Rattus norvegicus: one gene and its partners. The protein of the gene in region 3 purifies or fractionates together with the protein of the main gene of each other region. This does not show direct contact. Links are inferred from orthologs where the notes say so. Each region holds a gene or a part of one and is shown on either strand. Other genes may lie near its edges. The genes, in order: Bcl7a, Smarce1, Arid2 and Bcl7c.

The links.
Region 1: the proteins of Arid2 (region 3) and Bcl7a purify together in Homo sapiens (affinity purification with mass spectrometry; 3 studies listed by BioGRID and IntAct, counting the BioPlex papers as one, with this or other methods). This does not show direct contact. The link is inferred for Rattus norvegicus from reciprocal best matches to the Homo sapiens genes ARID2 and BCL7A.
Region 2: the proteins of Arid2 (region 3) and Smarce1 purify together in Homo sapiens (affinity purification with mass spectrometry; 7 studies listed by BioGRID and IntAct, counting the BioPlex papers as one, with this or other methods). This does not show direct contact. The link is inferred for Rattus norvegicus from reciprocal best matches to the Homo sapiens genes ARID2 and SMARCE1.
Region 4: the proteins of Arid2 (region 3) and Bcl7c purify together in Homo sapiens (affinity purification with mass spectrometry; 3 studies listed by BioGRID and IntAct, counting the BioPlex papers as one, with this or other methods). This does not show direct contact. The link is inferred for Rattus norvegicus from reciprocal best matches to the Homo sapiens genes ARID2 and BCL7C.

The regions. Positions count from the first base shown.
Region 1 is NC_086030.1:38,900,273-38,908,212, forward strand, and holds the start of Bcl7a (B-cell CLL/lymphoma 7 protein family member A), read right to left. Parts: upstream 4,499-7,940; 5' UTR 4,361-4,498; coding exon 4,269-4,360; intron 1-4,268.
Region 2 is NC_086028.1:84,673,374-84,677,673, forward strand, and holds the start of Smarce1 (SWI/SNF-related matrix-associated actin-dependent regulator of chromatin subfamily E member 1), read right to left. Parts: upstream 2,801-4,300; 5' UTR 2,756-2,800; intron 925-2,755; 5' UTR 880-924; coding exon 873-879; intron 697-872; coding exon 653-696; intron 1-652. UniProt on the Homo sapiens protein: Involved in transcriptional activation and repression of select genes by chromatin remodeling (alteration of DNA-nucleosome topology).
Region 3 is NC_086025.1:129,439,672-129,446,460, reverse strand, and holds the end of Arid2 (AT-rich interactive domain-containing protein 2), read right to left. Parts: intron 4,293-6,789; coding exon 4,151-4,292; 3' UTR 2,648-4,150; downstream 1-2,647. UniProt on the Homo sapiens protein: Involved in transcriptional activation and repression of select genes by chromatin remodeling (alteration of DNA-nucleosome topology). Required for the stability of the SWI/SNF chromatin remodeling complex SWI/SNF-B (PBAF).
Region 4 is NC_086019.1:191,750,314-191,758,413, reverse strand, and holds Bcl7c (B-cell CLL/lymphoma 7 protein family member C), read left to right. Parts: upstream 1-3,772; 5' UTR 3,773-4,032; coding exon 4,033-4,124; intron 4,125-4,601; coding exon 4,602-4,680; intron 4,681-5,029; coding exon 5,030-5,138; intron 5,139-5,230; coding exon of another isoform or gene 5,231-5,233; coding exon 5,234-5,395; intron 5,396-6,697; coding exon 6,698-6,783; intron 6,784-7,404; coding exon 7,405-7,530; 3' UTR 7,531-7,602; downstream 7,603-8,100. UniProt on the Homo sapiens protein: May play an anti-apoptotic role.

The DNA of each region.
Region 1 (7,940 bases), on a different chromosome or scaffold from region 3:
CCCCCACAGGCTGGGCTCAGACTTCCACACGTGCGTCCTAGCACACGTGAGTATGATCCCACCCCACACACAAAATAAGTCAAAAAAGAAAAAAGTAATAGAACTTTCAAAAACTGAAGTACGACCTGACCTTGGGATTGACCTCTGACCTGGGATTTGTCTCTTCCAAGGGCCCTGGCTCAGGGCAGCAGCTCACATCTCCTACGTGTGCTGCCGCCCATCGTGGGGGAACACACACACACAGCTGGCTGCCCCTATGCTGAGGGAACGAGACAGTTCCCATCATCTAACAGCAAGAGTGGCAAGCCAGTGGCCGGCAGGCAGGCACGTCTGGTTTACCCTCATGGTTTACCCTTTAAAAGGTTGACTGGGTTACCAAAGGAGAAGAGAGAGAAAAACCATAAAAATCCAGTTTTGGGGTACTCTGGAAACATGATCTGCAGTCCATATTCCCCCTGGGAGCCACAGCTTGCTCCCAATGGCTAACACTGGCTCCCCCAACCACAGCCCCCGCACCTCTCACCACCTGGAGGCGTTCACTTTGACCACCAAGTTGCACCTCGACCTAGCCACAAAAAAAAAAAAAAAAAAAAAAAAGGCTTGTTCCCATGGCAACAGGCTTGGCTTCTGTACCTCCTGCCTTGTGTTCCTGAGATAAAAGGATGAAATGAAGTCCCAGATGTAAGACTACAGCTCCAAAGTTCTTCTCCAGCTCGGACTCCTCTATAAACTACAGAGTCCATCTCGGATTCTCAAGGCCAAGGTAAACTCCCAGTGCTCTACTGGGTCTAGGTGCGGTGAGTCTCAGGGGGCCTTGTTGGCTCCAGAGAGCTCTAAATCCCTTTGTAAATTCACTACACGGTTAGTCTTTGTCATCCCGGGAGACCTGACCTCATCCTAATCAGGTCTGAGTCCCCCTCAGATGGCACTTCTTAGGGATGGGTGAAAAGCCCCAAACTAGTCAGTCTGTCCTTATGTGAGTTGCTAAAGGACTTCTTGGACTGAGAGCTGAAAGGTCCTGGACCAATGCCTACCACGAAGCTCTGATCTCCCTTTGTCTTTCTCACTCACACTGGGCCTCCCAGCCTGACCCAATAGGGACCTACCATGTTGTTCTTCAGTCATCTTCTGGCTACCTCACACCCCACCAACCCGCCCTGCCAGGACACCAGACAGAAAGAAGAGGAGTAGCCGCCAGCTATGGGTGGGGAGGCCATAGTTCACACTGGCTCCTTCTGCAGGGCAGAGGAAGGGTAGGGCTAGCCAATCAGAGTATTAAAAAAAAAATACCATCCTAGGCTTTCAGACTGAATGATATGCCAGACACCTCGCCTCTCCTCTAAATAAAATACAGGGGGTTGGGGATTTAGCTCAGTGGTAGAGCACTTGCCTAGCAAGCGCAAGGCCCTGGGTTCGGTCCCCAGCTCCGAAAAAAAGAAATAAATAAGTAAAATAAAATACAGAATTCCTCACTGATTTTGAGTTTTTCAGATAAATGGATAACTGTTTGGTATGTGTCTCAAATATTTCATGGGCTATACTTACATAAAGGGTTGTATATGTGTGTATGTGTGTGTGTGTGTGTGTGTGTGTGTGTGTGTACAGCCAGAGCTTTGTACATATTAAGCTCAAATTCTACCATTAAAGCAATATTCTCAGTAGACATTTTCATTTTTGCCTTTTTTTTTGAGACAAGCTTGAATGTAGACCAGGCTAGCCCAGAACTCAGTATGTAGCTGAGGCTATCCTTGAACTCCTGATTCTCCTGCCTCTACAAGTGCTAAGGTTATAGGCATACATCACTATACGGGGGAGGGGGGACTTTTTTTTTTTTAAATCACTTTGTTATTTTTCTGAAATTCAAATTTACCTGGGTGTTCTGTATTTTCCTTTGCTAATTATGGCAGCCCCATGCCTTAGCCAGTGGTGAAATGCATGGTTGGTGCCCACAGTTAATAAACAACCCCAAAGCCTTCAGGGTTGATTGCAACACTGTTGTACAGACAGGCCAAGACCAGATCCCGTGACTCAAGGAAGCCCCCTGCATTTCTGTGTAAGATGGGGACGGGAAGCAGATCCAAATTTCTACAAAAGTCCACCTTACATAAGGGCGTTTACAAGGGCCCCTGTGTACTCCAGTGACTCCACCTGACTAGCCAGTCCTAGGCAGTTCTGGAAGGGGAAGGGGCACCGAGTCCCCTAGTTGACAGCAGCAAGGAACTTGAGTTTCATGCTTTGCCCAAGGTCACAGCTAGGAAGAGAAGTAGAAACTCGAGCAGGAGATCCCAAAAAGCCTGAAGTCTTTAGAGGTCATGATGCACTACGGGGAAGAAGGCGGCCACATCCCCCGCTGCACTCCCAGGCTCCGCAGGCTGTGAACCCGCTGGGATGGAAGAAGTCTCCAGGCCTGCTGCTCTGGGGCCCGCAGGGTGGAAAGCCCCATCCCTCCATCTGCCCGCCCTGCAGAGCAGCTGGCAGACCCAGCGGCAGCTGTCACAGCTCCAGGACCAGAAAGGCAGCTTACACCGGCCAGCCTGCCGCTTTCTACCGTCCAGGCCGGTGACAGACAGAAGGGACGCTTGCTCTGATATCAGTTCTCTACCACCCCAGCCTTCCCTTGAGAGTCCCACAGGAGAGGGTCCGTTACTGTGCTGTTTTCCTGTGTTTTGGCCTGCAGCTGTTTCTGCCATTTTTAAATGGCTCCAGTTGGGCACTAGTCGCCCTGCTCAGCAGGGGAGCTCCCGGCACCCAGGACTTGGATCTCAACTTTGGAAAGCCTCCCCTTCTCACGGTTGTGAAAATTCTTTGTCCCATTGGAGCCAAACCCAGCCCACGGCGGGCATCCGGCCATCCGCAGACAGCCCTTTCCATAGGAGGCCCGGGAGCACGTGGACTTTATTGATTTTTTTCCTTGCCTTTTTTGTTGGGTTTCACTCTGAAAGGACAGCTAACTTGTGACACCATCAAGCCGGAGACAGGCACCCCCAGAAGTGTTTAAAAAAAAAAAGACAACAACAACAGAGGCGTGACTCAAGAAATGAAACCCCCCCAAAATAACAGCCTGCAGTGGGGCCTGGCCAGTTCCTATAAAGGACAGGTCCAGCCAGCAGCCGCTGACACTTGGGGACACCCTCGCAGCTGCTCCTCTCCCGCTCGGACCCAGATGAAGCCGTGGGAAAAAAAAAAAAACGTAATAAAGTTAAAATCAGGGAGCAGGGAGTTTTCAACAAGTCTGACCCAACCTGGTGGTGGACTACTGGAGCCTCAGGCCTGGTCTCTGGGGCCGCCTCGGAGTCAGATCCCGACGAGGGCCGTGAAAATGTTCCATCCTACTAATTATAACGAGGCCACGCCGGGCACGATCTAATTTGAGCTCGAAAAACACGCACGGCCCACACCGAATCTCCCGGTCCCCTCCTCCTCCCCCAGTGCAGAGAACAAAAACAACGGTCGCTCGCTCTCTCCGCAAAACAAACACCAGCTCCAGCTAGAAGAAGGCAAGACACGGCCCAGGACTTGGCTTCTGGCTGCAAACATCGCGTTCCCCAAGCTCCGGGTGCCGCGCGGAGCGCGTGGGAGCCGTGGGTGCTCCGCGCCCGGGCCGCGCCACCGCCTTCCTAGCGCTCGCCCCCATCTTCCTTCCTCGCCCGGAGCCCTCGCTCCAGGCTGCCCAAAGCGCTAAATTTAAACGGCTCGCGCTCTGCAAACTCCGCAGACTCGAGGGCGCCGAGGCCTGGGAGGCGGGGAGCTGCGGGCGGGTCGGGGCGTAGGGTGAGAGTGTGTGTGCGTATGTGTGTGTGTGTTGGGGGGACACCGGCGCCGCGCCGCCCCGGGAGGAGACGGCGGCCCGCTCCGCGCTGCACAATGGAGCTCGCGCTCTGCCCGCCGCCGCCGGCATCACGGCCCCGGCGCGCGGGAAGCCGCTTTCATGTGACTTGCACAAAAAAACGAAATGGCTTCTGGGGCCGGCTGCGAACCCCCCTCTCCCGAGAGCCGAGCTCGGAGCTCCGGGCTCCGGGCTGCAGCCGCCACCGCCACCGCCACTGCCTCCGCCGCCGCGCCAGGTGGGCGACCGGCGCCAAGCACACCTGGGCAGCGGACGCAGCCCCCGCGGGGCGCAGGTGACCCCGGCCGCGCGCCCTCGCCAACTCCGGGCCCGGGGCCGCTGCGCCCCGCCGCTCTGCGCGCTGGGTCCCGGCTTGCTGGCGGCCGCGATGCGGTGCAGCGAGCCGGGGAGAGCTAGAGAGCGAGCAGGCGCCTCGGCTTACCATTTGCGCACTTTCTCGATAGCCGCCATGACCCTCTTGATATCATCTTTGGCCCGGCTCCTGGTCTCGGCTCGAACCGACCTGCCCGACATGGTTCTAGCGGGGAGGGAGAGAGAGGAGAGAGAGGCTGGGGGAGCGCGCCCGCCGGGTCCTGCTCGCCACACTCGCCCGCTCTCTCACTCGCGCACAGACACACACTCACACACATACGCGCACACACAAAGCCTGGTGCCGCCGCGCGCCCGGGGCCCAGTGCGCAAGCGCCGGGCGGCAGCTGCACAGAGCGAGGGGGAGCGGCGCGGCCGCCAGCAGTGCGGCCTCCGGGCGCCGCCGCCCACCCCGGGGAGCCTCGGGGACCTCGCCCTGGGAAGCTATCTTGGGTGACCCCGACCTCCCAGCACGCGGGACGGCCCCGCGACCGGACTCACCCAGAGGCCGCAGGTGCGATTGGGGGCCTCTCCGTCCAAGACACACACCCTGGGGATGGCAGACTGCAGGCCGTGGGTGCTCTGGCTCGGGTTGGTGGCCGCGGGCGCGATCGTGCAAGTTTCTTGTCGGGCGCTTGAGTTCTCGGAGTTGGAGGCTGCGGTTTGGGACGCGAGGTGATCTTAGAAAGAGTTGAGGCGCCGGTCTCTGGCCAGCTGCCTTGTTAAAATGTGCGAGCTAGAAAGTCGCTTCCCCATGCTTAAACTACAGTCCTAGGAAAGGTGCTGGAGCCCGGTGGCAATTGACATTGTCGCAGGACTTTCTTTCCCGTAGAGATAAGTTGTCCCAGTCACGGATCAACCTCCTTGGGGTTTTCTGAAAATGACAATTTAATCTGAAACGGCTCCTAGTAGAAGTGCAGTGTATTGGCCCGGAGCAGCAAGTAAACCGGACTGGTCCAACACAGAAGGACTTTCTTTTGAGGAACTGTCTTCCTACCCTAGGACCGAGCTGCGTGGCAGAATGTACCGCGGTCAACCAGGATAGGGACAGGTGGGTGTGCAGTTGCGGCTAGACAGACTGGACCAGAGCGAATGCTCGTCCAGGTGGATGCTGGGACAAGAGATGACCTAAAATGAGCATTGATGCCAACATCAGCCCTTTCATAAATGGGGAAACTGAGTCAAGGGGTGATTCAAGGTTGCAGCCGTGAACTTCATCTGCGACTGCTGTGATTCTAGTACCCAGCACCCCCCCTGAAGTTTGGGGTGCTGCAGGGGTTTGGTAGAGGGAACTAGTGGGGAGATGGGGGTGAGAATCTGTGGGATCTTCCCCAGGCTTATCTTTTAACCACTTTAAACACAGGATCCTAATGCGGAAAAAATTAAAATATGGAGGTTGGGGATTTAGCTCAGTGGTAGAGCGCTTGCCTAGCAAGCGCAAGGCCCTGGGTTCAGTCCCCAGCTCCGAAAAAAAGAAAAAAGAAAAAAATTAAAATATGAACGGTCAGGCCTGGTAGCCCAGTCCTTTAACTCCAGCACTCCTGAGGCAGAAGCAGGCAGATCTCTGTGAGTTCAAGGCCAGCCTGGTTTATGGACGTAGTTCTAGGACTAACTAACCAGGACTACATAGTGAGACGCTGTCTCAAATCCAAAATCGAAAAACAAAAAAAAAACAGTCGAGCCAGGCAGTGGTGGTGCACGCCTTTAATACCAATACTTGGGAGGCAGAAGCAAGCAGATGTCGATGTGTTCAAGGTCAGCCTGGTCTACATAGCAGTGAGTCCCAGGACAGCCAGGGCTACAAAGACAAACTCTACCAAAACAAAACAAATAAATAACAACAACATACACACACACACCACAAATATGTCAAAGAACCATTTTTATCATGGTTGAAAACTGTGCTGTAAATCAGAAGTCTCATACTTTTGGCCCTCTGTATCTGACCATCAGATATGTGCTTGTACCCCAGGGAATGAATTTTTGTTTAGTGCAGAAATTGTGCCTGCTAGGCAAGTGCTATACCACAGTTTCGACACAGAATATATGTTATATATATATATATATATATATATATATATATATATATGTGTGTGTGTGTGTGTGTGTGTGTATATATGTATATATATGTATATATATATAAAAAATTTTAAAATAAGATATATTGAAAATTCACATATGTGGTCTGCAAGATGGTTTAGTACATGTGTTTGCTGCCAAGCCTGAAGACCAGAGTTCAACTCTCAGACCCCACACTGTGGAAAAAAGAACTCATGAAAGTTGTTCTCCTATCGCCACATGTTTACATACCATACGCACACACACATGCACGCACGCGCGCACGCACTAGATGAAATGTAAAAATATTAAAAACCCAAATACCAATTGACGAATGGATGTCTTTTCAAACAGTGGGATTATTCATCCGTGATAATAATACAAGGAATACCAATATCGTTAAACATGCATGAAGGCATGATAGGTAGAAAGATAAAGGCATGCAAGGACAAAGATTGTATGACCCCACTTACAGGAGTTATCTAGAGTAGACAGGAGCTGGGACGGGGAGAGGGAATGGTGGCCAATGGTTTTTCGTTTGTTTGGTTGGTTGGTTTTTTTTTGTAATGAAGAAAGTTTTCTTGACCTATATGTTAGAAGTGAATGTCCCATGTCACTGAACTGTACTTGTAAATGGTTACAATGAGCCAGGCACATGACTCAGTGGTTAGACACTTGCTACGAAAGCACAGAGACTATCGCTCAGATCCCCAGAACTCATGGAAAGTTTTGGTTGGTAGATGTGGCCACTGGCCTGTAATTCCAAAGTCTTGAAAGGCCGAGACAGGCGATTCCTCAGAACAGGCTGGCTACTGGGACTAGCCATACTTACAAGCTCTGGTTTGATTGAGCCAGTCTGCCTCAAAATAAGCCAGACAGAGGACAATTCCAGACATGGACTGACCTCTGTACATGCACCTCCATGTACATGTGCACCACACCATGCGTGCAAATGTGTGTGCACACATGGAGACCGTACACATGCATACCCATGAAAATGGGAAAGGGAGGAAAATGTTCATAATGGCTGATGTGAGGTTACGTGAATTTGGCTATTATAAAAAGAAATCCAAATTGGTTAGAAGCAGCTGGAGTTCTGCAAAGCGGCCCTCGCCTTTCAAGCTGCTCAGGTGACCGGGTTTGCTCCATGAAACCACCTGACTTCAGTTTGCTGTCTATCCCCTGAAGGTGTTTATATTTTTGATTCCCGATTAAACCGTAAAGCTCTCTACAAATGTTCTTTATAAGTCTAGTGTGTCATTTTTAGGTCCCCTCCCAGCAGATATTTTTGAGCTTCTTTCTTTCAACAAAACTGGGCTGTTTCATAGTTTGTGTCTGATGACTAATGCTCTTTGCTGGATCTTGTTCATGCATTTCCTTGTTATATGCCTGGCTCTCTTTGACTAGGTCACACACTGTATTATTTCTTCTCCTTTTCCCCCCTTCCTTAATCCTCATCTTCCTCCTCCTTCCCTCCTACAGGGTCTTATATAGCTCAGGCTAGCCTCAAACTTACACAAGTAGCTGAGGGTAGCCTTGAACTCCTAACCCTTGCACCTTCGCTAGAATTGCAAGCAGGAGTCACCACACTCAGCAGGACTTAGATTTACTTCAGTCACAGTCAAGTTCACATAGGCGGAAGCCACCACAGCAGTAACAGGACTGAACTGGTAGCTGGAGTCTTGCT
Region 2 (4,300 bases), on a different chromosome or scaffold from region 3:
ACACCTTTAAGCAGAGCAGTTGGCAAACCAACCTGAACAAAATTTAGAAACGAGATCTGACCCATGGGTAATGAAACCCTTACTTGAGCAGCTTGAAAATAAGATTTATGAGTGTAGTTATCCTTAGAACAAGACACTTTATTTAATGTGAAAATTTTATACACAGATAAGAAAGTTTAATTAAAAAATTTGTGCTGCTGGGGTTCCAACCTAGGGCCTTGCGAATGCTAGGTGAGTGCTGTCACTGAGCTACCCCAGCCCTTACTTACAGTGAGAGAAAAATGTAACCGGTTGAAGGTTAGGTTTAAAAACAACAAATAAAGGAATAACCAACAGCAGGATGAGCACTGACTCACTGTCAGCTGCGAGGCCCTTTACCAGGGGAAAGGCTAGAAAGGAGTGTCTCACTGATTTCCTGCTAGGAGAAAAGAGAGCACAGGAGGTGGGGAGTTCATAGCATGTAATTTTAAATGTTGGGTTTGGTTCAAGGTAAGGATGAAAGGAGTTATTTTATTTAGTAGGAAGTGCTGATTTTTAGCTGAATTTTCTATGCTGTGGCTGTGAAGACTGAGTGACTGTCAGTGGAAGACATCTGGGTTTTTGTATCAAGGCCAGACTTGGCTATTACATTAACAAGAAAATTAAAACTTACTGTTGCAGGAGCTGGGGTGGGAGGTGGGGCATAAGATGGTCTTTCTGTTTGAAAGAAAATAAATAACTTCTTGTAAACAACTGAGATATAATACTATGCAACAAAACTACCAATGGTCCTGCTTTGAAGAAAAAAAAATGAGAGTATTTTGGAATTCCCATTTGCTAGGGCATTAGTCTCGTATTAATACAGATTGATAAATATAAAAATTGAAACTTACTTGACATTTTGGAAGATTAAGTTCTCAGTTCCTTAAGAATGAATCTGAGACACTAAAATAAAAAAAAAGAAAAAAAAGAAAAAAAAAGAGAATCAAAACTCAGCAAGCATAAGAGAATGTTTTCCTAAAGAATAGGGTAGTTTGGTATTTCTGAGCAAAATTACTTCACTGTTAATTGCTAGTAATCAAGCCTTTTTGCATATTTTAACTAGTCCTTATATTCATTTGATTGATCAGAATTAAGTGATGAAAATGAATTACTGGGAAATTTAGAGTTCTATCAGAGATGGATTTTTTTTAGGTTTTTGCTTATGACATTGAGAGCCACGTCTTGTATGGAAAACATTTTGCTGATGCCATGCGAACGATTACTTAAGACTGATAAAAAAAAAATAATGACAATAGAATGTGATGTATTATCAGGGTGACCCCAACAAGGCCTACCAGATACTGACCAATAACCCCTGATCAGAAGCTCTGCCCTATCGAGGGGGCCTCTTTTATCGAAACAGAGCAACGTCTTATTCCTGGAGGCAGTGTGAAAGAAAGATAACTCATGCTAACAAACTTTACATTCTCTTTTGTTGGTAAATAGTTCCCTAAGAGCTGGAACAATTTTCTCAGGTTACTGACAGGACACCTGTTGTTCCTTTACTGTCCATTTCAGAAATTACCTCAGGTCCTCTCTGGTGAATTATCTGGACAGAACTAATTGCCTTGTCTCTGCGTTCCTACAGGGCTTACTAAAGATCAGTGGCATTTTCCCTCACACAACATGTGAATGTGGCTGGGTTCTGTCTTGCAAGAGAGGAGGGATGGTCTAACCTATTACTCAAACGTAGCTCGATTCTTCATAAATTGGGTCCTAGTATTACCAGCTCAAAACACGGACATTATCTGAGCTTGCTCCTTTCTCAACACAGACCACAAATGGTAATGCATAAAGAGATGAAAATTTATTTTTAGAAAGATGGTGAATACATTTTTTTCTTTCTTCTAGTTTTCATTTAAAGGAAGTGCCTCAAACCATCAGGGTTAAGAGTTTTTGATGTGTTAATTGCTAATTTTTTTTCAACCCATCTCTTTTACTTCCATCAACACCCAGTAGGCCTTGCTGTGGGGAGCCCCGACAGAAACTGTGACAGGGTCCCTGGCACCTTACACTTCACTGCTAATACTTACAAATGATTGCTCTCCTGGGCTACAAACTCTAGTAGAGAGTGGATCTAACCATAGTGCCTGGCATGCAACTCAGTATTTGTTGAATTAATTACCTTACGGGTCAGGCTTTTAACAGTCTTGTTCACTAGTCACAACGACCCTACCAGATACGTATGGCCTGTCCCCATTTTACAAAGGAAAAAAACAGTCCCGGGGCGATTAAGTGTCTAAGGCCATAGGCCCAGAAATGCCAGAGGTGGGTTTAAACCCAACCCACACCGTCTCAGACTTCATCCAAGCCACCCCGGGTGTCTTTAGGCCGCTACTTGAGCCCCACCCCCCACCCACCAAAATGGGAACCACCTTCCTGGGTGAGGACCCCCGCTAGCCTTGCCCATTGGGCTTCCCGAGATCCTTTCCTTTGAGTTTGTGGCGGGCGGAGGGTGAGCTTTTCTGGAAACTCCCCCGCAGAGGGTTGTGCATGGGTGCTCGGCCAGCGTCCGGAGTCCAGCATAAAGGGACTAGTGGCGCCTCCGAGAAGCTGTCCCGGATGGGGCTCCCCCACCGCCGCTAGGCCTCTCAGAGGCCGCACCGGCTCTAGCTCCCGCCTCGCAGCCGAGGCCGAACCCCAGCACCCCGCGGGAACTCGGGGTCCCGCCAAGCCGAAACACCACAGCTCACCACCCTCCCCGACCGGGTCGGGCCCACTGGGAAACACTCACCCGCGGGCCGAGAAGGCGCCCGCAGCTCCGGCTTCGCTTCCCTTTGTCCCGCGCTCGCCCCGCCCCTCGCGCCGGAGCTTCCGCGCTCGCACTTTCCACACGCTCCGGGGAATTTTCTGCGGGCTGCGGCCGGCCCTCCTCCGACGAACAGCCCTTCCAGTGAAGACGCGGCAAGGTTTAGTGCGCCAAAGATTTTTTTTTTCAGGCTCCTCGGATCCCTCAGAAGTCTTTCAATTTGGATCCTGTCCCAGCCGGGCGCCGATTCGTCACGGCGAGGAGGGCGGAGAAGGTTGGGCCGCGTTGCGGGCCCTGGTTCGCGGCCCGGCGGCAGGAACTGCGCAGACTGCGTACCCCGGCTTCACTGAGGCGGTGGGTTCCGCTGCGTGAGGCAAGCGCTGGGGGAAGGCTCGCTGGAGCCTCTCCCGGGAGAGGGCGGGTCGCAGCTCCCGCACACCCCAAACCCTGGCGTTCCCCTTCGCTCTGATCCTCTGTACTCCGCTGATGGACGTGTGGATGGAGGATGGAGAATGTAGGCGGGGAGGACCCGGATCCCCGCGTTTTGGTCCTTGCTGGCGCTCGGCAGGGCTCCCTGCCTCCACCTAAGCGAAAAGCAACACGGGAGTTTTGTAGTTTTTCCAGATGCTTCTAGAGGTTGAATGATGGCGACAGGTTTCAGAGCCTAGGGTCCTCATATGTCAGCTCACTCTTTCCAGCTTGCATACCTGTGACAATTCACATCTCTTACCAGGAGGGCTAATTCAGCTCACCCTCGCTTGTCTTTAAATAGTCAGCTCAATGTTTCTTTGTGATGCCCTCCTAGAACTTTTCCAGGGCCTGTTGAAACCCTCTTGATGGGATTGGGCCATCTGCAATCTTGGAGAGTCTTGAAAACCAAATTTCAGGCATCTGGACTGGACAATTTCATAATTACCAATGATTTCGAAGGGCTAGACTTGTAATTAGGTGCTCAGTAAGTGTGTGTGTAGCCACCTTTCTGGACTATTCCAGGGCTTTTTTTTTTTTTTTTTTTTTTTTTTTTTTTACAAATTACAAGTATTTGGCGGACCATAAGAAGTTGGCTAGTGTGGGTCACGTCATGGTGGAGGAAAAAATGAGCAGACCGTCTGTGGTTATCTAAGGACAGTGTTAGCATCTAGAGAAACTGGTTGAATTCTGGGACTACCTCTTGGCCCTTATCCTCGTGAGGTATCTTTAGAAGTCTGCAGAGCCAGGAATAAATGATAATATTGTTCAGTTCTTCCATTGTCCAATATTTTCATTCTGGTGAGATGAAATTAATGAAATAAAAGTGTATTGAAAGGAAAGGCTAAAGGAGAGTTTTCCAGATGAGTGAATAGCATAAGGAAATGTATCTGAAAATGTTTTTTTTTTTTTTTTTAAAACACAAAAAGCATAGAGAAGATGAATGTAGGATCCACACAGTTACGTCAGGGATCCAGTGTCTTCTTCCTCTGTCTGCCCAGTAACTCCAGCCTTGTTACGTCCCTGCTTTAGCAACTGTGGGATTAAGGAATGGTAGGAAAG
Region 3 (6,789 bases):
CTCACAGTCACACACAACCAGACCTCAGCCCTCTCAAAGCACACAGCTGTTACCTGGTTTACCCAGTGACATTAGTTTGTGCTATTGAGAATACTTGGTTAACCGTGGAGCATGGTGGATTGGCCCTCTTGGTCTCCTCTCCCCTTCCATTTCTTTTTTGAGATAGAACGAAGATCTGCCTGCCTCTGCCTCCTGGGTGCTGGGATGAAAGGCCTTACTGACTACAGATGAGATACCATACCTAAGAATGCCATTACAAACTTCCCAAAGGAACTTAAAAAAAATTTTTTAACTAAATGGGTCTGTTCAGGAGGGCAAGGACTGTCTTGCTATTAGCAATCAAAACCCAGACTCAATTGTGACCCTGATTTGTAAGTTACCATAAACTGCTCCATGACAGTAAGTCACTAGACAGTGACCGCAAGACAGCGCACGGGGTCATTTATAATCGACGGATGAGCCTAAACTACTGTTCATGTGCATTAATGTTGCCACGTGAGCAGTACCAGTGAGCCACACTTGAACTCAAAAAGCAGCATTTAGAGACGAGGATCTGAGCTGGCAAGCAGCTGCTTCAGGGTCATTGCATCTGAGGCAGGGGTGGGATATAGAGTCTTGGGGATTGTCAGCCTGTGAGCAGTGCTTGGATGAAGGTTTGCTGTAAGGCAGTAATGCTGTACTGTATGGTTTCTGCTGTGTCCTAGTTCATTTAACATCCTGGTCGTAGCTGCAGACCACGACTAATGTCTGTGTACAGCCATGTTAGTGCTTCCATCTCGTTGGCCGCTTCTTCCTGCTTGTGTTAGCATCTGCAATTCGAGCTACCCCACCCTCTGTTTAGTACTTGAGTTATTATCAAAGGAAATGTATCCACCTACATACATGGATACTGTCCCTTTGCATTTTTTTTTCAAACCAGTGCAGTAAATGGAAATCTTTGCTAGGTAAAGTTTACGGCTATGATGGTGATTTGGTCTCATCTGTTTGTGGCCTTGGAAGGAGGCTAGTTAATTCCAAGTATTTGAGTGCCTGAGTCCAGTCAAGAGTTGTGCACTGCAGTATGAGAGCAGTTAACTAGCACCAACTGGCTATAAATGGTGCCTTCTCTTACTGTGTCAGATAACGAAGGAGGGACCACTGTGAGGTGTCCTGCGTGGCTGATCTCAAAGCCAAAGTCTTGTTTCTGAGCAGCTGTTCCTTTGGGGAAGAGCTTCACACTTTGTCTTCAGGACTTCAGTTATGGTACAAGATCAGGACAGAAGCCACTTACCCAAAACACTCATTTCAAAAATCACTTTTATTGTCATTTATGGTTTAAAAAACATACATGGCATGGCTATAAAGTAATGAGACAAGTTTTCATGTGTGGCTTGGTTTATTGAGTCTCATTAATATATAGTCATATCCTGTCAAGTCGGAAGAAAAATATGCCTTCACTATATGATCATCAGTTTTGTTACTTAAAATTTATTAAGTGCCAACAGAGCACTAGGCACATATATAACACAGAATTGTACAGTCTATGTTGTTGACTATTATTTACATAGATTTCTCAAAGATAACATCAAAGCTTGTATTTACACAACTTTAGACAAAAATAACAATACTGGAAGTCAGCAAGTTTCTGTCTAGCACGGAGCACCTTTTCATGACTGAGGGTTCTGCAGGACCTGGACTCAAGGGCACTTCAGCTGCGTCACCCACCAAGTCCGTGTTAGTCCGCTAGTCAGGTAAAGCTGTCGGAGGGAAAGCCTAAGAGGGAAGCTAGAAATTGGTTTCCTCAGGTCAAGTACATTGAGAAAATTCTGCTGAGACCATTGCTTAAAAGCACTAAAGACACATTTATACATTTTAACACAAAACCTACAACTACAGGATGCAATTCAGTGAGGTGACAAGATGGTGACTGTGGAAATCACTTTAAGCCTGTTGTTTCTGCTACTAAAAGTTAACCACCGTGGTAATTTCCTGCTTTGAAAGGTAAAAGGTACCTTGAAGAGAAGCAAACAGTGATGTTACAAAAATTATTTCAGAAAGCCTCAAATTTTTTAGATAAACACAGTGAATATAAATGTCTGCCACCATCTGCCCTTAGGAACCTTTAGTCTGGAAATATTTGCGGGATATAATAAGGTATCTGGACCCAGGCTGTCTGCTGGGCAGCCCCAGTCTAAGGTGAAGAAGTCAATGCCAACAACCTGAGAATACCGAGTTTTGGGTGTTTCCACACATCGTTTTACAGATAGAGCCGAGTACACAGGCAGAGGCCCCTTGGGGAGAAATTACTTCAGGTAATAATTAGTGAATCAAGATGCTGAAAATGTATGTCCAGACTGAAGCTCATTAAAAAATCTGCCTCTGAATTCAACCTACAGTCAAATGGTAAAGAAAAGCTTCAGTCAGATGCTGACACAAGGGTAAGGCAGCTGAGCTCTGAACTGTCTCTCACTGGGCTTACTGCTCCTAAATATCGTAAACAAAAAGTTTGGTTTTCCTGCCATGACCATGGTGTATGTCATCTGATGCACCTTTCTGCTCTCTACAATATTATCACAAAGTATAAAGGAGGTGACCGTTTGACTTTGCCTTCAGCTAGACTTTAAATTTTACAATGTCTTAAGCATACTCAGAAATAAAGGACTCAAGAAAATGTTCAGTCTTTTATTTAAAAACTATAAACAGTCACCAAAGTAAATAAAGCCATTCTATAACATAAACTGTCAGGTCTATATTTTTTACTGCACATCCTAAGGACACAGCAGAAATGGTTGTTGGGAGGCCTTCCACATTTTTGGATGCTAATAGAACAGGCAATAGGCAGTTATAAGTGGATACATTTCACGCTTAGGGGGAAAAAAGACAATTTAAGGAAGTGAGCAGTTTTTGAGCAGGAATGTGGTACAGTATTAAGAATGGAAGAATAATACAATAAAATTCCACACTATATTAAGATAGAAAAAGTAGTGAAGAAAATATCATACCTGCACATAATGCATATATAACACAGGAGAAAACCTGTATAAAATTCCATGTATTTAAACCAATTTACAAATACAAAAAATTCTGCACAAGCTCTGAGCTTGCACATGACAAATGCTTACAGTGGATACATGGGAGGGAAAACCAAACAAAAAAAAATTCAAATAGTTTTTCTTCTACAAAAATGACATGAGATATATTATTCCATACTCTTTCAGCCAGCAAAATGAGTTCTACAAGGTGTATAATACAAAACAAAACAAACAAAAAAACCCAAAAAAACCCCACCCAAGGGAGTGGGATCCAAGGAAACCAAAAAAAGGAGGGGGAAAAAAAAATCACAGTTCCACAAAACTGTTGACTTTACAGCATCAGTACCTCTGCAGAAGTATTTACACAAATGTAAGAGTGTCCACCACTGCCTAGAATACATCACAATTACAGGTGACAGCAAAGTCTAGAAAACTTTAGAGCCTACCGATAATGCTTCCAGGACACCACAGAATGATTTCCAGTGGCTGCAGTGGTATGAACGGTGTTCATTCTATTCACAAATATTTACAAGATCTATTCAGACTGGTAAATTTTTATGATAATAAATAAGTGAAAATATATTGGCTCAAGTAAGAAAACCAAGCTACTGATTCTAAACAAAACACACAATCCACAGCTAGATACTGGTGGCCCCTCCGAAGCTGGGGGATAGGTGTGCTCAAACTTTGTCGTCGTTATTCAAACCAGCTTAAATGGTTCTGTAAATATAAAAATGTGCTCCTTTTTGGATATAGATAAAAATATTTAATGCTTCTATTTCATCTGCTCACGTAGGTTTTACACTATTCCATGTATATTCCAATGTGGATGGTACAGAATTCTGATCACACCAGTTTCCATCAGGATTGGCCAGACCCGAGACATCCTGCAGATAGGCTGGTTGTCAATCCCACAGCAGTTTGTTTGTTTTTTTTTTTTTTCCTTTTTAGATTTTTTTTTAACAGAAAAGAAAGGGATTCGTTCAGAGATCAGAATACGAAGCTTCCTCTCAGCATCATGGGAGGACACAAAATAATTCATTCTATGGTCTCTGCTCCATTAAGACTTGGTGCTTTCTTCAGTAACAGTGAAATGTGTTTGACTTTGAGCCCCCACTGTGTCAGTGGGGTAGGATTCACTACAGCATTTCTGAGTCTTGTTCTTGTTCTTTACTCTGAACTGTAAAATTAAGTTCATAAAGGCATTTGGCAAGGGTAGAGGAAGCCTCCATGTTACTAATGGCTAGCACTGATAAGTTGTTTTCATGTCTTTTTAACAATCTAAAAAACAAAAGGAAACAAATTGTCAGTCTCCAGGATCATAGTTACATAAGATTCCTTATCACAGATTATACAGCTAAAATAAAAATATCAACAGCTCTGTAGAAAGAGGCGGCTCAAGCTAACCATCAACTAATAGGATTCACTGTGAGGAAATTAAGGTGTCTGCCGGACCCCACACTCAGAAGACACCTCAGCTGCTCAGGGTTGGCATCCACGGAATGTTACACAGAGTATTTCTGTATCTTCATTCAGCATTTTATGAATTTCACAAATCAGAAAGTTGTTGGCAAGTAACAAACACGTTCATGAACTCAAATGTGACAAAGGCGACAGTCTTGATGGCTGTGACCATAGAGACGGTGGGAGTGAGTGTCATCAGTAAAGATGGCCGTGGGCTAAGGAGGACAAGGATGGGGAGAGTACCGAGGGACAGGAGGCTAAGGTAACTGAGGTAAAGCCTACTCAGCTGTCAAACGGAAGCTATGCAATGATACAGAATGTTCGTTCACTTTACAGTTCGTTCAAGTTGGGCTTAGTGTGATAACTTTCATGTTTAACATCTGGAAGATAAGTCACATAGCAGTGAGAATACCCAAGAACTTAACTACTTTCAATAAAGTCCTGGGAAAAGAAACCAGAGAATGGGCTGCTGACATCATTTGGCGGTTAAGAGCCTGATCGTGCCAAGGACCCCTGTTTGGTTCTGATTAACCAGTCTGACCTGTTAGGCAGTGCACATATGTGGCCCATATATGTAAATGTAGGTGAAACTAAGATGATAAAAAATACCTTAGAAAAAACAAAAACAGGAAAAAAAGAGGTGAAAACATCACTAAAATTGTGATAAAAACCCTGTAGAGAAGTTAATCAAGGGGGAAAACAAGTTCTAACTTAACACTCAATGAGGAAGGCTGGGGATAGCTTGGTGGTGGAGCACTTGCACAGAATGGACAAGGCCCTAGGTTCACCTTCCGTGACTAGGAACAAAATGTGGATACCAAAGGAACAAGCCAGTAACCATAATTCTGTACTCCAGAAATATGAGCACAGCATTGCTACATGTAACCTGAGAAATCAATCTCACAATTCCTGTGGTGAAAACCCCACTGTCTGATATGACTTCTATCAAGTTAAAGTCACTTAGAATAACCGGAGTAGGACAGTGGAAGGCTGGGGGAGAGGAGGAGGCTGCCAGATGAGGGCAGAGCAGGGTTCTGTGGTACTGGTGGGACTTTATTGTTCTTGTATGGGGGGTACTACATTCCCAAAACTCACTGAAAATTTTGCTTTGTAGACCCTTTAAACATGACTTCTCAAAATTTTATCTAACAAACTTTGAAATCAACGGAGAATACATGATTTTCTATAAAAACAAGACCAAACTTAGCTCAGTTGAGAAGCACGTGCCTTTAATCCCAGCACTTGGGAGGCAGAGGCAGATGGATCTCTTAAGTTCAAGGCCAGCCTGATCTATGTAGAGTTCTAAGCTAGCCAGGGTTATATACAGAGACCTGTCTCAAAGCCAAACACTTGGGGGTGGGGATGCAAGAGGTTATACTTAGGGACCCGAACATGTTTTACCTCTGGACACAGCTATATCCAGAGTCTTTTCTTTCTTTTATATTTATACTTTAAGGCTAGAGATTTGTATAATAAACATAACTTTTGTTTATTTTCTGGAATTTTCAATTTCACATGCTGGTCTGAGTTGTTTTACTAGAAACATTTTAAGATACAAATTACCCTTGGGGAAAACCAAACAATTTGAAAAGCTTATATCCTATCAAAAGCACCAAAATTTGAAAAGAAATTTATTTTCTTGAGAAACAAAACATAATAGGTTTTTTTTTCCTTTTTTTTTCTTTTTTTTCCGGAGCTGGGGACCGAACCCAGGGTCTTGTGCTTGCTAGGCAAGCGCTCTACCACTGAGCTAAATCCACAACCCCCATAATAGGTTTTAGAAATGGGCAGTATAGGCGAGGGGAATTAATATAGGTAGAATTAATCAGTGGGAAGAAAACAGGCTTAAGAGACACAAGGACCTTCCTTCCGTCTCATTTCCACAATGCAAGCCCTCATGTTAACTGTCCTTAAAACTGCCTACCTACAAAAGGTGAGAAAATCGGAGGTTCTTCCAAGGAGAAACAAAAACAAACCCTCTGTATAGAACTGACTGCTTATAAACAAGCCAGCTCACTGGAGAGCACCTCAGACAGCAGCCATTAGAAGCAATGAGCCAGAACTCTGCACCCTGGCATTCTTTCTTTACTGCACTTTGAGACAGGGCTTTGAATGAGACCCACACTGACCTCCAATCCATGTCTGGCCCCTATAACAGAATATTATACACAGAAACAGAAGAGCTAAAAGAACTTGTGTATCTCCAGCCACCTGAAGATGTAAAAACAGAAATAGGAGATGGCCCACAAGTAGACAGTCAACAATCAAATTCAAAACAATGCACTCAGCTGTGAAAACACAGTACAATTCCCTG
Region 4 (8,100 bases), on a different chromosome or scaffold from region 3:
GCAGGTGTTGGCACAGTGAATGGGAACTTGGGCCTTTAAACGCAGTTCTGTGTCCTGTTGGGAGGAGACTCAGGCTCAGACCTGAGATAGATTATTGGCTGCTTTGGAGGGAAAAGCTGGGAAACCCGAGAGGAAAGGTGCAGGACTGGCGGGAGAAGAATGCCATCAGGTCCTCCTTTTGGGGGAAGACAAAGAGAGGCCAGGGGAGCCCTGTTTAGGTTAGGGTGCACCTAAGGCATGCACCCCCGGTCTAGTTAACTTGGATACCTTCTACTTTCTCTGTCACACTGATCAGAAGAGAGACAGCCTGCCCCTCACTTACCATTCATTACAAACCCTCCCACACATAGGCAGATATACTAAGGCGTTTGGACCCAGTCTTCTACACAGGTGAACACAAGCTTAGAGGACACACCCAAACAGCGACTCATCAACCCAGGGTAGACTCTGAAAGGACTGGACACACTTGCCTCTACTATTGGTTCCCAAGCGCCTTGGGCACTGGCACAGAGGATCCACATTGGTTTCAGGTTTCAGATAATGGAGTGTAGGCACACCTTTTGCAACCTACTTTTTTTTTTCAACCTACTTTTAATAAACGTTCAACCTCTCCTCTTGCCCACCACCCAACAAAGGTAGTGGAAGAGAAAAGTTATGAGGATATGGGGGAAGTGGACCTGTTCAGCAATGTTTCCAATCTTCTTTGGCAGCAGTTCAGTCGTAGCAAACACCAAATATGACTCAGCAGCTGTCCAGTCTTCCAGGCAGGCAGACCCCAGGCAGGAGCCAGCAGCTGTAGCTTAGTCCTGAAGAAACTGCAAAGCTCACCAACAGGTCAAAGGTTTCAGAAGCAGCAAGCTGCCTCAGGAACCTCAGGAGCAGTTCTTGGGCGAGCTTCTCTCAATGTTGGAGTTATCACAAGTTGAGCTCAACAATACTAGGTAAGGCGAACCAATACATGTGTGTCGTTAGCAAAAAATATTGAGGCAGAACAAAGCAAACCAATGCTCAGTGCTAATCTCCCACTGTCTGTGAGGTCATAGTTATACTCCTTCAACACAGGTCCTTCTATATGTTTGCTATATCAAAACATTCTTTCATGTGTCTGTGTTAGCAAGACATCCTTTCAGCCTGTGTGCCCCAGAAAACTATCATTTGATATAAATGACTTCCCAAGCAAACCAGAAGTTCCCACTTCAGTGGAGCTTGTGAGAAAGGGAACTGAAAAAGCCTGTGTGGGAATGTCACCACAAGCAGACCGTCGGGACAAAGTTCACCGGCAGAGTGTAGCACAGGTGAACGTGAAGCCACGCTGTCTGCAGTGGACACACACACACACACACACACACACACACACACAAACCAGCAGTATTTATTGGGTATTCCTGGGTGCCAAGCAGTATTCTAAATGTTTTATACACAGTAACTTATTTCCATGTCAGAGGAGGCAGTAAGACAAAGGACTTGCCCACAGCCATGCAGGTAAGTGTGACTAGCTGAGAGATTTTACTTCTTTTTTTAATGTTATTTTTTTAATATTTATTTATTTATTTTATATAAGTACACTGTCATTCTCCTCAGACACACCAGAAGAGGGCATCAGATGGTTGTGAGCCACCATGTGGTTGAACTCAGGACCTCTGGAAGAGTAGCCAGTGCTCTTAACCACTGAGCCATCTCTCCAGCCCGAGGTTTTACTTCTTACAGTTTGGAAATGCTGTTAGTCATGGTGTGCACGGTCACACCAAAGCCTTACAGATACCCCTCACACACAGCACAGCAGACACGTTCTATCTAGTGATGGGCCAGCTTCAAATAAAAATCAGCTGAAACAGTCTCGTCATCTTCCCCTTTACTTATGTGTGTGTTGGAGGCCTGTGTGCACCTGAGTGTGGGTGCTGGAGGAGACAAGAGGACATGGAATCCCCTGAAGGCTGTGCAACGTGGGTGCTGGGAACAGAACTACTGTTCTCTGAGAAAGCAGTAAGAGCTCTAAACCATGGGGCCACATCTCCAGCTCCTATTTTCTTGCTTACTATGTATCTTGTTATTAGACCAGGCTGACCTCAAGCTTATAGTGATCCACCTGCCTCTGCCTCCTCGGTGTTGAGATTAAGGTGTGAGCCACCAACCTGGTCTTTTTTTTTTTTTTTAAAGAAAACTCGACATTTATTTTGGCTATGTATGGTATGTCAGGTGTGTGGAGGTCAGAGAGCTGTCAGGAGTAGGTTCCCTCTTCTATGATGTGGGGTCATCTATTGAGTTTAGGTCATCAGGCTTTGTGGCAAGTCCCTTGTTCACCGAGATATCTTGACAGCATTCATTTTCTTTAAGTAAACCTTTAGCTGAACTATAATACACACAAGAAAAATTACAAGTAATAAATGTCCATCTTGACAGACTAAAGACAAGTGTGACAAGCTCCCGGAAAACACCATGAATGTACTTGTGTTCTGAACTTAGATGTAGAATTATCTAATGCATGTTGTCACATCTGGCTTCTTTTGTTGCAGACCCATCCCCACCATTGCACATAGCAGGACTTTGGTTTTTCTGGTTGTTTTGTCTGTGCTCATGGTATAAACAGGTTGTAACTGGTTTTCCATTCCATTCTGTTGAGTGGCTCCCAGGTTGGTGCTATTATGAAGAGTACCGAACTTCCCAGTATACATATCTTGGTGTTCATACAGACACATTTCGTCCTAGTGAGGTTTCTATTGCTGTGATAAACACCGCATCTATTTCAGCTTGCAGTTATAGTCTGTTATGAAGTCAGGGCAGGAACTTAAAGCAGGAACTGAAGGAGGCCAGAACTGAAGCAAAACCTTGGACGAACTTTGCTTACTCACTTGCTCCCCAAGGCTTGTTCAGTCTGCTTTCTTAAAGTGCCCGGAGGTGGCACTGCCTACAGTGGTCTGGCTCTCCCACAACAACTATTATCAAGAAAATGCCCGGGGTTGGGGATTTAGCTCAGTGGTAGAGCGCTTGCCTAGCGAGCGCAAGGCCCTGGGTTCAGTCCCCAGCTCCGAAAAAAAGAAAAAAAAGAAAAAAAAAAAAAAAAAAAAGAAAATGCCCCATAGACTTACCTGCAGGGCAACATGATGGAGGCGTTTTCTCCATCAAGGTTCCCTCATTCCAGATAACCCTAGCTTGTGACGAGTTGACAAAAAAGAGGCAGCACATATTCCTTCTGTTGAGTGTTGCTAGTTTGGGAGTGGAAACTGTTGGAAGACGGGGTTGGCATAAGTTTTTCAATGGAAGACTGCCAGTTTTCCAAACTATCTCTACCAATTACACACCCTGATTCAAGGAATGGCAAGTTGCTCCTCTGCTACTTCATCTACATGGTCTTTTTCACTCCCGCCATTCTGATTGAGGAGGCCGGCTCTCCACTCGCAGAGTCTGGCTTGTACTAGGCGCTGTTAATGGAACTGTTCAATGAATGAATGAATGAATGAATGAATGTATGAATGAATGAATGAATGAATGAATGAATGAATGAATGAATGAACAAGTTAAGTTGGGCAGCTTAGAATCAAACAGCCTGGAGAGGGCAGACGCGCGCACACAGAGCATTTCAGGGACGCCCACCCGCCGCGGACGCACACCAGGACAGTCCCTCTCGCGCACCCCTGTGCCCACGTGGCCGGAACGCACCGCCTCGTTCGGGCCGCGCGCGTCCAGCCGCACCGCTGCCCCCCAGCTCTCCCTCTCCGCGGCGGGCAGAGGGCGCTGTGCGTCCGTGCGCCCCGAGGGGCGGGCCCGGGCCGGGGCGGAGCTGGCCGGGCTTCCAGGCCGGGGCTCTAGCCGCCCGCGCCGCCCGGGCCGCTCCGGGGACGGGCCGGGGCGGGGCGCGGTCTCAGGAAGCCAGGCGGGGACGCGCGGAGGCGTTGGGGAGCGAGGGAGGGCGCGGCCAACTCCCGGAGGGACGGCAGGCCGAAAGAGCGGCGCCGGGGCCTGGCGCGCAGCCTGAGATCGCCGGACCGCAGGCCGCCCCACCACGGGCTCTGTCCCGGCCCTAGCCCCGCCAGCATGGCCGGCCGGACCGTGCGGGCCGAGACCCGGAGCCGGGCCAAAGATGACATCAAAAAGGTGATGGCGACCATCGAGAAGGTCCGGAGATGGTGAGCGCTGCCCCCGGGTCAGGGATACAGCCAAGCCACCTCCTCCAAACGCGTCCGCCCTTTCCTGGCCCGCTGCCCCCGCCCACCAGCTGTGATCTAAATCGACAGGGCGCCCCCTTTCCTTGGCAATTCCCAGAGGTCTACAAAGCGTGGTCCGGAGTGGTGCTTTCCCTGAGCGGGAGCCCTCATCTATGCCCCGCCCCCTGAAGCTTTTGACACTCTCGCAAGCTTGGCCCGGGGTCTTCATTGCCTGAGTGCCTGGGCAGGCCTTGGTGGCGCCCTGCTGAGTGCCCCAGGTGTCTGCAAAACCGCAGCTCCAAGTTATATCCGTTTATGCTTTGCCCTGGGGTTTAGAGGGCTCTTTCTGCTTCTATGCCGTGTAAACGAAGCTGTCCGTACCCTAGCACACCTCCCTGACCTCCAGTCTGTGGGGCTCACCCTTGGGCCTCCCTGACCCAGTCTCCTGACCTCCCACAGGGAGAAGCGCTGGGTGACTGTGGGTGACACTTCCCTTCGAATCTTCAAGTGGGTGCCTGTGGTGGATCCCCAGGAGGAGGTGAGCAAGCCCAACCCCCAACATGCCTTGCATCTGTGCAACCTCAAGCAATTTCCCTCCCCTTGGCCTCCACCTTCAGTCGGCTTGGAGACTCCACTGTGGAGCCCAGGCAGATGGTAACGATTATTAGGGGGCATGAGCACGGAAGCGCGCGCGCGCGCGCGCGCGCACACACAAACACACACACACACACACACACACTTTCTCCAAGTTCAAGACCTAACTCGGCCTACACAACCTGAGGCAGCACCTTTTGCTTCTCTGAGCCTAGGTTTCCTTATTTGAATTGAAGGACTTTGTAAGAGCTCCCTGGACAAACTAGCTCTGATCTTACTTCTCTAACCCTCAGGAGAGGCGGCGGGCAGGAGGAGGGGCAGAGAGATCTCGTGGCCGGGAGAGGCGTGGTAGGGGCACCAGTCCCAGAGGGGGTGGCCCCCTCATCCTGCTGGATCTCAATGGTATGTAGAGATTCTGGAATAGGGGTGGGGGGGCTGGGTGCTGAAAGAAGCCACTGGGGTCCTCTGGCCAACTAACTTGACTTTTGCTTCAGCAGATGAGAACAGCAATCAGAGTTTCCATTCCGAAGGTTCACTGCAAAAGGGCACGGAGCCCAGCCCTGGGGGGACGCCCCAGCCCAGTCGCCCTGGATCACCAACTGGACCTCCAGAGGTGATTACAGAAGATACTCAGCCCCCACAACTGGGCCAAGAGAGAGGTAGGACCATGTGGCTCTTGGGAGTCCTCTCCTCACCAGAGTTGAACCTACCGCCTTGTATGTGTTTCTATATTGTGTTGTGTCCCCCCCCCCCTCCCCCGTCCTGCCTCCCTCAGGGAACCTTTCCTGACCCTGGCAGAAATTACCTCTGGCTGTGCCTGGCTCATTCCTTGGCATCTTGGATTTGTAGGGAGCGTGTCGCCATCTGAAAACTTTATGTAAATGTACTTTTTGCTTGCTTATTGCCTCTCTGTTACCATCTCATGTCAGACACACTGATCTGGTTCATGTGGGACGCATAATAGATGTTCGGCAACTAAATAATTCTGATAACCCTAGGGATTAGTAACCGTAGATTAACAGCTGACAGAACCACTTATCTGTTAGTCATTCTTCTGAGCACTTCAATGTTTTGTGGTTTGTTTTCTCATTTAACCCTCACTGACATTTTATGGAACCAATGATCCTATGATGATTCCTATTTATACACGAGGAGCCCAACATCCAGAGAAAGATGCCCAGACTTGCAGAGCCAGTGCGCCAGCTCCTCGGCCTTCCTGTAGTCCACCCCCCCTTCCCAGGCATGGCTGACTCCCGTGCCTTTGGCGCTCCCTTCTCACTTCTCACTTGCACTGGCTCTCGCCTCCACATGCTACAGCTTTCTTAGAGCAGATTCCAATCGGCCATTTTCCTGCTTTGTGTCCTTCGTTGGCTCCCGTGGCCTTTGATTCCTTCGTTTGAACCAGAGGCCTTTATAAACTGTTGCTACTGAAATTGTTCCCCTGTCAAGAACACCATGACATGGGGCTTGGGACCACACCTAGGTTGTCCCAAATACTTTCGCTAATATGAAATGATGGGGCAGGGCATGCAGCCCAGTGCAGGTGCTTGTCTGTCATGCCTAAGGTCCTAAGCCCCATCTCTAGTACCACAGAAATGAATGAATGAATGAAACTGCTAGCTGGCACTTCTTGAGCACATACTATGTGCCGTGTACTTGATCCACACAGCAGCCTCTCATGGTGTTACTGTCACTATTTCCATTCTGCGGATGACTGAGAGTCTGTGGTCACTAAGCACATATTTCTATCTGCCTAAATTCTACTCTACCTCCGTTTGCCTCCTGGCTCATTCCCTACTGACAAGATCCAACTTGAGTCTTCCTTCCTCAGCAACTTGGTACCCCTCTGCCCCCACAATGTCATCATGTGTGACCAGTGCCTGTCTGTTTCCTTTGCCCCTGGTCCACTCTCTCAGCACAGAGTAGCTGCTCAGGAAGTGTCTCTTTGTTTGGTGTTACAGATCCAGGGGGCACACCTGCAGGAGGTACTGATGAACCCCCAAAGCTGACCAAGGAGGAGCCTGTTCCAGAATTGCTAGAAGCCGAGGTGAGAGAGGCCAGAGTCCGGACTCTGGCCTTGTGGGGACTGGAGGCTTTGGGGAAGCAGGGAGACTTCATTCTAGGCTCCAGGAGGGAGACGTGGACCTAGAGCCCACAGAAGGCTTAGCTGGAGGTTGGATTCTTGGGTGAAGGAGAGGATTGCAGACACCACCCTGAGGGCTGATCATGGCTGATAGAAGAGCACTAGAAGCCTGAAATGATCTTGGTGCTCCCCTAAGGACTTAAAAAAAAAAAAAAAAAAAAAAAAAAAAAAACCTAGGCTCAGAATTCGGCTTGGTGGTACTTACTTCCTAAGCATGCGCAAGAGCCTGGGTCCCCCGCATCGCACAGACACACATCCTGAGCTGTAAACTTAGCCTAAGACATTGCCTTACCTTCCCCTACAAGGACTACCTTGATTTGCTTTTCAGAAAAAATCAGGTCCTTCCCCCCCCCCCCCCCGCCCCAGACAGGAGTGTAATTGTTTTTGGTGCCTTACCCTACATTCTGGTTACTTGGTCCTGGGCCAAACTCTGGGTTCCCAGGGGAGTGGAGTGGAAAAGTCAGGCTAGGAGGCTGTGCTCTTGGGTTAGAGTGGAGCTCACACCTGTCCGCCCTTCCTCTTCAGGCCCCTGAAGCTTACCCTGTCTTTGAGCCAGTGCCACCTGTCCCTGAGGCAGCCCAGGGTGACACAGAGGACTCGGAGGGCGCCCCCCCACTCAAGCGCATCTGTCCAAATGCCCCTGACCCCTGAGAAGCTGCCTGCCTCCTGTCCTGTTGCTCCAGGGGCCCCTTTGGCTTTTTATAAATAAAGACCCTTTTGTAATTTTGTGTCATGTCATTTCCCTGTCAAGGCTGGGGAGGGTCTTTGGAGACAGTTTTGGCTCATGCTCTATTCCTCAGATGGGGTCACCGAGGCTCTGAGATGACCTGTATTCATGTCATGATTACACATGGGGTGAGGGCTTGAGCCAGGACCTCTCCTCCCTTGCACCCTCGCCTTGCACTTCAACGACCTTTACCCTCCCCAGGGCCCAGCAGCTCTTCACTCACACTTCACTCCCCATTTCACTCACAGGAACACTGGCCCAGAGGAAGCACCCAGCCCCTCCCTGCCCTCAGGAAGCCACAGCATCATGTCTCTCCTCCTAGATGCCTTTCCCTGATTCTAGGCTCCATCAGGATCATTACCTTTGAGTTTCTATAGCCCTTTCAGCTTCCTTCCCTTTGTCTCAACATTTGTCAGGCTGTTTGGGGAGCATGAGTCTGTGTTTCTGTCTTTCAGGCTGCTGGCCTCTCAAGGGTAGGACTAGATCCCTAGATA